Linked DNA regions of Canis lupus familiaris. The protein of the gene in region 1 interacts with the protein of each later gene in a pairwise test. Links are inferred from orthologs where the notes say so. Each region holds a gene or a part of one and is shown on either strand. Other genes may lie near its edges.

What was found. The genes of interacting proteins can lie anywhere in the genome.
Region 2: the proteins of XRN1 (region 1) and ZFP36 interact in a two-hybrid assay, tested with the Homo sapiens proteins (2 studies listed by BioGRID). The link is inferred for Canis lupus familiaris from reciprocal best matches to the Homo sapiens genes XRN1 and ZFP36.

What each region holds. Positions count from the first base shown.
Region 1 is NC_049244.1:38,642,574-38,646,217, reverse strand, and holds part of XRN1 (5'-3' exoribonuclease 1), read left to right. Parts: intron 1-110; coding exon 111-178; intron 179-468; coding exon 469-606; intron 607-2,331; coding exon 2,332-2,398; intron 2,399-2,603; coding exon 2,604-2,709; intron 2,710-3,644. UniProt on the Homo sapiens protein: Major 5'-3' exoribonuclease involved in mRNA decay. Required for the 5'-3'-processing of the G4 tetraplex-containing DNA and RNA substrates. The kinetic of hydrolysis is faster for G4 RNA tetraplex than for G4 DNA tetraplex and monomeric RNA tetraplex.
Region 2 is NC_049222.1:114,602,810-114,606,789, forward strand, and holds ZFP36 (mRNA decay activator protein ZFP36), read right to left. Parts: upstream 2,782-3,980; 5' UTR 2,684-2,781; coding exon 2,645-2,683; intron 1,895-2,644; coding exon 941-1,894; 3' UTR 644-940; downstream 1-643. UniProt on the Homo sapiens protein: Zinc-finger RNA-binding protein that destabilizes several cytoplasmic AU-rich element (ARE)-containing mRNA transcripts by promoting their poly(A) tail removal or deadenylation, and hence provide a mechanism for attenuating protein synthesis.

The DNA.
Region 1 (3,644 bases):
TTGATTATTAGAGTACCAACATTCAATATTTTGTAAAAAAGAATTTTGTAGAACTGTTTAGAAAAAATAGTGTCAGCTTTTAGTACAAATTTAGATTTTGTTCCTTTTAGGTTATATTAATGAAAGTGGGCATCTCAACTTACCTCGATTTGAGAAATACCTTGTGAAACTATCAGACGTAAGTAACTAGATATTTTTATTTTCTTGTCCCAGGGTAGCTATAAATGGGCAGAAACCAATTATATCAGAAGAAAAAGTTTTGGTACTTTTACATCAACTGATCCTTCTGTATAATTTCACCTAAATTACTTTTATTTTTATTTGCTTTTTATTTTTGATTTTCAGCCCATAAGAGAGTAACATTCTTTGATTTCTTATGCCCTAGAAGTAGCAACTGTTAAAAGTTTGGTTTCTATTCTTCCAGACATACTTAAATTATTTTTAATGAATTTAAATATTTTTGTACAGTTTGATCGGGAACACTTCAGTGAAGTTTTTGTGGACCTAAAGTGGTTTGAAAGCAAAGTTGGTAACAAGTACCTCAATGAAGCAGCAGGTGTAGCAGCAGAAGAAGCCAGGAACTACAAGGAAAAGAAGAAGTCAAAGGTGTCCATTTTTTTAGGTGTTCTTTCATTTTTCTAGCTGTAAAGTGAAACTGATATTCCTTGTTCCTCATTTCCCTCTTGTGATTTTTGGAGTTGCCTCATTTCATTTTCATTTCTTATTTTCTTCTATTGAACATTTGAAAAAAATTTTTTTTGTTTCTTCTCTGTTAGATCCTGTTACTTAAAGCTGATTTTTAAAAATCAGCTTCTTATTTTTATCCTAGAAGAAAAGCATTGTGTTTTCATCCTATTAATAAGTGTAGAAAATCTTCTAAATATAAGAACCTAGAAAATTAATTATCTTTTGTAAAATATGTCTACTTCTAACATTTAATATTGAGATAGCAATTAGACCTGTGGTTTTTCTTCAGAAATAATTTATATAAGGCACCCCGGGTGGCTCAGTGGTTTAGTGCTGCCTTCAGCCCAGGGCATGATCCTGGAGTCCGGGATCGACTTACACGTCGGGCTCCCTGCATGGAGCCTGTTTTTCCCTCTGCCTGTGTCTCTGCTTCTCTCTCTCTCTCTCTCTCTCTCTTTCTCTGTCTCCCATAAATAAATAAAATCTTTAAAAAATAATAATTTATATATAAAGTCATTTATGAAATACAGCTATAGGCTAGTTTAAGAGTAAGTAATAGCACAATAGCTAATAAATGCTAGGTGCTCAATAAATAAATAGTAGAATCAGAATATGCTAGTACCCTACGAAATATCACTAATGAGCTCTAAAGAATGTCTTGTATGTGTTAACTTGGGAAATAGACCTTTTCTGAAATTTTCCTCAGCTTATTTGTAATTATTGGGTTCAGATAAAATTGAGGAATTTTCTATACTCTCCTTGCTATATTGGTTCTTTTTAGGTTCAAAGCTAGTAACTCTTGCTCCATGAAGGGCATTTATGCTGATTTTCATTAGAGTAGTCCTTCTAATTGATTAGTTTTTCTCAGTGAAACTAAGGAGCAGTCCGTCTACATTCTTCTTTGTTTTTTCTCTTATAGAAACAGGCTCAGCAACTTTTTAGGAATCTATACTTTACTCACAAAACTTACACATCAGTAATCCCTGGCTCCACCCGTCTTAGCCCAGTCCTTAAGCTTCACAAGTCTTCAGGCATATGTAGTTACTGTTAGAGATACTGGCAAAATGAGGGAAACTAGAGGAAGAGCCGAAGCACAGGAAGTTAGCAAAGACCCTAGTTTGGATGAACAAAGGGAAATGGGGATAAGGGAGTAGGAAGAACTAAGTCACTGTCGATAGATAGGCAATCAGAAAATAGAGGAAAGAAAAGTTGAGATCACAAGGGAGGAAAAGCAGATGGGCAGGATATAAAGAATGTGATGAGATGGGATAAATATAGAAAAGCAAATGCATTGCATGAGAGAAAAAATTTAGAAGTAGAGAATAGAAAACATGTAATGTTTGTAACCTTTGGATTCAATCATGAACAAATAGATTATATTAACACAATAGATGAGAAATACCTATTACATATTTTAGAGCAGCCTAAATGTTAAGTTCTGCATAATAAAGATTTAGAAAAGAAGTGCTACAAAACCGAAAACATTTATACAGTACTTGAGGATTATTTTTTGAATGAACTTTTACAGTGTTGTCACTTAAGGATCATTCAGTCCTTTGTAGTATTTTTTAAATATCCCAGTTCAATGTCTTACTTTGAAATGTATCTTTGCATTAATTTTATATTGATTTATAATTTTTGTAGGGCCAGGAAAATGCCATATGTTGGGCTGCTTTAGACAAAAATGGAGAAGAAGTGGTAACTTCTAAGGGTGAGTACAAACTCTATTCGTTGTGTTATTTTTTTGACAGAATAGTCATTGTATCTTTCCTTAGTAAGCACTGATTTAATAATATTAGATGGAACAGATTTCTGTGTTAGTTTATAAGCATCTGCTTTGATATGTATTTATCAAAGAGATAGGTGGAAAAACAAAATATTTGTAATTGTCAGCCACTTTCTGACCTTTTTTCCAGATAATTTAGAAGATGAGACTGAAGATGATGACCTGTTTGAAACTGAGTTTAGACAATATAAAAGAACATACTACATGACGAAGATGGGAGTTGATGTAGTATCTGAGTACGTTTTTAACCAATGCTTTAACTTTTTTATTTTTAAAGATTTTGTTTATTTATTCATGAGAGACAGAGAGAGGCAGAGACATAGGCAGAGAAGAGAAGCAGGCTCCATGAAGGGAGCCTGATGTGGGACTCAATTCTGGGACTCCAGGATCATGCCCTGAGCCGAAGACAGACGCTTAACTGCTGAGCTACCCAGGCATTCTGCTTTTACTTTAAAATAGAAAAAAATAGATTTTTTAGATTTAAATCTAAAATTAGATTTTTTTTTTTTAAGATTTTATTTATTTATTCATGAGAGACAGAGACAGAGAGAGAAGCAGAGACACAGGCAGAGGGAGAAGCAGACTCCATCCAGGGAGCCCGATGTGGGACTCGATCCTGGGACTCCAGGACCACACCCTGGGCCGAAGGCAGGCACTAAACTGCTGAGCCACCCAGGGATCCCCTAAAATTAGATTTAAATCTAATTTTAAAATCTAAAAAGTTAGATTTTTTTTTAAGATTTTATTTTTTTATTCATGAGAGACACAGAGAGAGAGAGAGAGAGAGCAGAGACACAGGCCGAGGGAGAAGAAAGCTCCATGCAGATAGCCCAATGCAGGACTCCATCTGGGGACTCCAGGACCACGCCCTGGGCCAAAGGCAGGCGCTAAATCACTGAGCGACCCAGGGATTCCCCTAAAAAATTAGATTTTATTTATCATAATGTCAGCCTTTCAACTGCTATGGTTTTGAAGAAGGTAATGTTAACAGACGTGTTAGATTCCTGTGATAAAAAGTTGGCAAGTAGAAAATGGTTATTTTTGTTTGTTTGTTTTCCATTTTCTGGACTCACATCAAACTTATCCTAAAGGCTACCTGGCTAAGCCTCAGGTTCATATCTAGTCCAAAAGTTCCTTAAGAACTTGACCTCTAGGGATCCCTGGGTGGCGC
Region 2 (3,980 bases), on another chromosome or scaffold:
ACGGCAGCTGGCTCTCCGAGATCCGAGGGTGACCTCACCTGGGCCCGCCCTCTCAGGTGAACGGCCGGGCCCGGTGACGTCACTTCCTGCCAGGTAAGCGCCGCGGGCGGCCCGGCCTGCGGGGAGGAGGGGGGCGGAGGGGCGGCCGGCGGACCCTACCCTCTCCCGCTTCTAAACACTCCCCGCCCCTCTCGACCGCTTCTGGACCGCAGAGGACTCCGGGATTGCAGTTTACACACAGATTCCTTTTATTTAAAAATTCCAAAAACCACAAAAATAAACTTTTAACAATATATTACTTAATATATTATTATAGCATACTTATAACAATAATTATTCCATCGTTTCCAATATTACAAAAAGGAGGAAGAAAAATACAAGGGAAGCAGACGACCCAATATATATAAATACTATAAAATCCATTAGAATAAATAAAGTCGTCATAAATAAAGAGCCCAATGGCTGGGGGGGGGAATTGGGGGTGGGGGTGTTTGGCAATGGCTTTGGCTACTTGCTTTTGGAGGGAAATTCGAGCACCAGGATTCCCCCTCGGGGGAGGCTCCAGTCACCACCAGACTCTGGAACCTCAGGGTCTAGGAGAAATTGGGAGGGGGCAGTGGGAGCCTATTATTCACAGCATTGGGAAAGGGAGGGGTGGGTAGAGGGCTCACTGCCTTCCTCAAATCTGCTACATACTTTTTTTTTTTTTTTACAAGACCCAGAAAACTCCCCACCCCAACACCATGAACACAGATCTTGCACACTGGGGACCTGCCCCAGCGTGGGGTCAGGGGAGTGGGTTAATGCACTTTGGAAGGTAGGGGGAGGCTACTTGATTGAGTCCCCCGAGTTCCCCACAGCCCCGGGGCCCCTGTGGAACCCACAGCAAAAGAGAAATGGCCCCCTTGAATCCAGCTGATCTGTACTGGGCAGGCACTTGTCACTCAGAAACAGAGATGCGGTTGAAGATGGGGAGTCGCCGGGGGGCTGCAGGTGGCTGGGGTGTCCCAAAAATCCCAGCCTCGAAGACAGGCGAGTCGGATCCCCCTAGGCTGCTGCCGCTGCTGGCATATTCTTCAGGATCAGATCCCAGGGACTGTGCAGAGGGGCTCCGAGCCAGGCCACCCAAGGGCCCCCAGACGCTACTGGGGGTAGCCCTTCGGCAGGAGGGGCAACAGACTGTGGTGGGGTCCCTTCGGGCCACCGGGGTCCCAGGGGCAGCAGAGAAGGCAGAGGGTGAAAGTGGAAGGTCCCCAGGTGGCGGTGGTGGGGAGCTGGAGGGAGAGAAGGAGCAGGAGGACAGGGAAGGGCCTGCCAGGCCTGCTGGTGGTGGTGACGGTCGGCGGCCGGAGGGCAGGCCCGAGAAGCTGATGCTCTGGCGCAGCACATGAGGGTGGCCCGGGGCAGCCAGATCTTCGCTGGGGTTGTGGATGAAGTGGCAGCGTGAGCCGTAGGGGCAGCCGCCCTGGAGGTAGAACTTGTGGCAGAGTTCGGTCTTGTACTTGGGGTGGCGGCTGGCCTGGCGCAGCTCGCCCAGCCCGTGGGCAAACTGGCACTTAGCCCCGTAGCGGCAGCGCCCACTCTCGGAGAAGGTCCGACACAGCTCGGTCTTGTACCGAGATGAGGTGGTGGGAGTCGCAGTAGGTGAGGTGGGTGAAGGCGACAGTTCAGGGCCTGGGCGGGGAGCCAGGGGTGCGAAACCCGGGGGTGGTGGCACCCAGCCACAGCTTGGACTCTCCACCAGGCTGGTGGAGCGGCCAGGCAGGCGGCCACTGATCCCAACCCGGCTCCTCTCGGGTGAGCTGGGGCTCCAGAGCCCGGAGGGGGGCCAGCCTGGGATGGACTCCGTGTCTCCGTGGTCAGATGGCATGTCAGGGCTCAGCGACAGGAGGCTCTGTGGGAACAAGGATCGGTTAAGAAACCGAAAATGCTGGGTGACGCCCCACCCCAGCTGCAGGGCACCTAAGAGCTTGCCAGTCCGGTTCGTGGGCTCCCAGCCTGAGCCCCACCTGCCCACATTAAAATATGGGTGCCGGATGGCAGGGATCCCGATTTGGAAGTTCAGAATTTTTTCCTCCCCGCGACAGAAGTGTCTCCCGAGGGAACCAGAGTCCCCGGCTCTCCAGGCCGGATCAAAACAAGACCCCAGAGTCCGACAACACCACTGTCCTCCCAATTTCGAGCCTCTGGGCCCCCGGGGAGCTGACCCCTCGCATCGGGTTCTCCAGTTTCACAACTGGGGAAGCAGGCAAAGTTAGCCGCGGAGTCGGGAAGCCGTCGGACTTGAGAGTCCCCAGAGCTCCTGCTGGCCCGAGGGCCGGAGGGTCAGGAGTCGGCCCCCCCTCACCCCGAGACTCCGCGCCCAGCGCCGCCTCCGCGCCAAACCGCGCCCTCAGCAACCACTGGGGGTTAGGCCAGGTGTGGGGCCATTTCCGCCTCCAGACAGCCCTGGACTCCGACGAGTCCCCCGGCCTCCCGACCCCCGAGGGCCGCCCCACGAAAGTCGCGGGCTCTGTTTTCACCTCCTGAGAACCGCGCGGGTGTGGGAAGGGCGGCAGGGCCCCGGGCCGGGCCGGAGCTGTGGGCACTGGCGCTCGTCGCCCTAGCGGGGGGGGCGGGCCCGGGGGTCGCCGGCGGGGCTCACCTTGTAGATGGCGGAGAGGTCCATGGTGGCGCGATCCATGGCGGCGCGAGCGGCCGAGGGGTGAGGAGTCGGCCGGGAGGGCGAGCGCTGAAGTCAGGCTGCGGTCGGCCGGCCGAGCCCGGGCTTTTATAGAGGCGGGCGAGGGGGGGCGGGCCGGGTGGGTGGGGCCAGAAGGGGCGCTTCCCGGACGCGCGCCCCCAGCAAGGCCCGCCCGGCCCCCGGCCAGGACGCACCGGAGCCCGGCCCCGCGGGCGGTCGCAAGCGGGGAGTGCCCCGGGCCGGGGGGAGGGGGGGCAGGGGGCAGGGGGGACAGCGGGGTGTCGGCCCAGTTTCCAAGGCTGGAGAGAGCGAGGCGCGGAGAAGCGAACTGGGCCGTGGTGGGGGCAGGGCTCCCCGGGGAATCGACACGGGCCGAGGCCAAGAGGGCGTGCGCGGGACGACGGCCGGGGGCGGGGAGAGGAGAGAGCCGGGAACGCAGCCGGGGAGAGAACCGCGCAGGGACGCGGCCGTGGCGGGAGAGCCGCGCGCGCCCCGGAGGCAGGGAGAGGCGGGGAAGTTGGGAGACGGAAAAGACAAGTTAGAGACAGTCCCAGAGGGACAAACTCAAAAGAGGGGGAAGCGAGAGGGAGGGTCGCGTAAACTGAAAAAGCGGGGAGATGAACCGGGGGAAGCAAACACCGACAGGCCAGAAATCCCGTAGGAGCAACACGGAAGGGCGACCCAGGCCAGGTGGGGGATTTCGCTCAAACAGCCCAGGTCGGGAGGCCTTGGTCACCAGCCCCCTGGCCCTCGAGACTCGCGGGGGCGGGGGACCCCGGATCCCTGGCGAGGCAGGAAGGGGGCCCCTCGAGCTCACGCAGCAGATGGCCCCTCTGATCGGTACCCGCCCCCCAGCTCTGCTGCGTGAAAGTACTTTACGGCCATCCACTCAAGGACGCATTGTGCCCATTTTACACACGAGGAGACCCAGGCCGAGTTACTGTTGTCGAACCTGTTAGTAAAAGTTCGCCCTCTGAGAAAACTCAAGATTGGAAAGGGCGGTGTGTGTGTGTGTGTGTGTGTGTGTGTGTGTGTGTGTGTGTGTCTTTTATTGTGGACGAGGGTTTGCCTCCGATGGAAAGTCTTTTGGAGGTGGAAGGAACGGGTCCCCCCCCCCCCCACCAACTGGTGGTCGCACGGGCGTCTTTTGGAGGGGTTTGCCTTGAGAGAACTGCCAGTCTGCGGGGGTGACTCCCCACACTGGCAAGGCCGCTGTGGTCGAGGGGGTGCCCTGCGTGACACTCTGTTACAAAGGCCTGGGGAGAAAGTTCACTTTTAAAGGGGCTCTCGGTGGGCT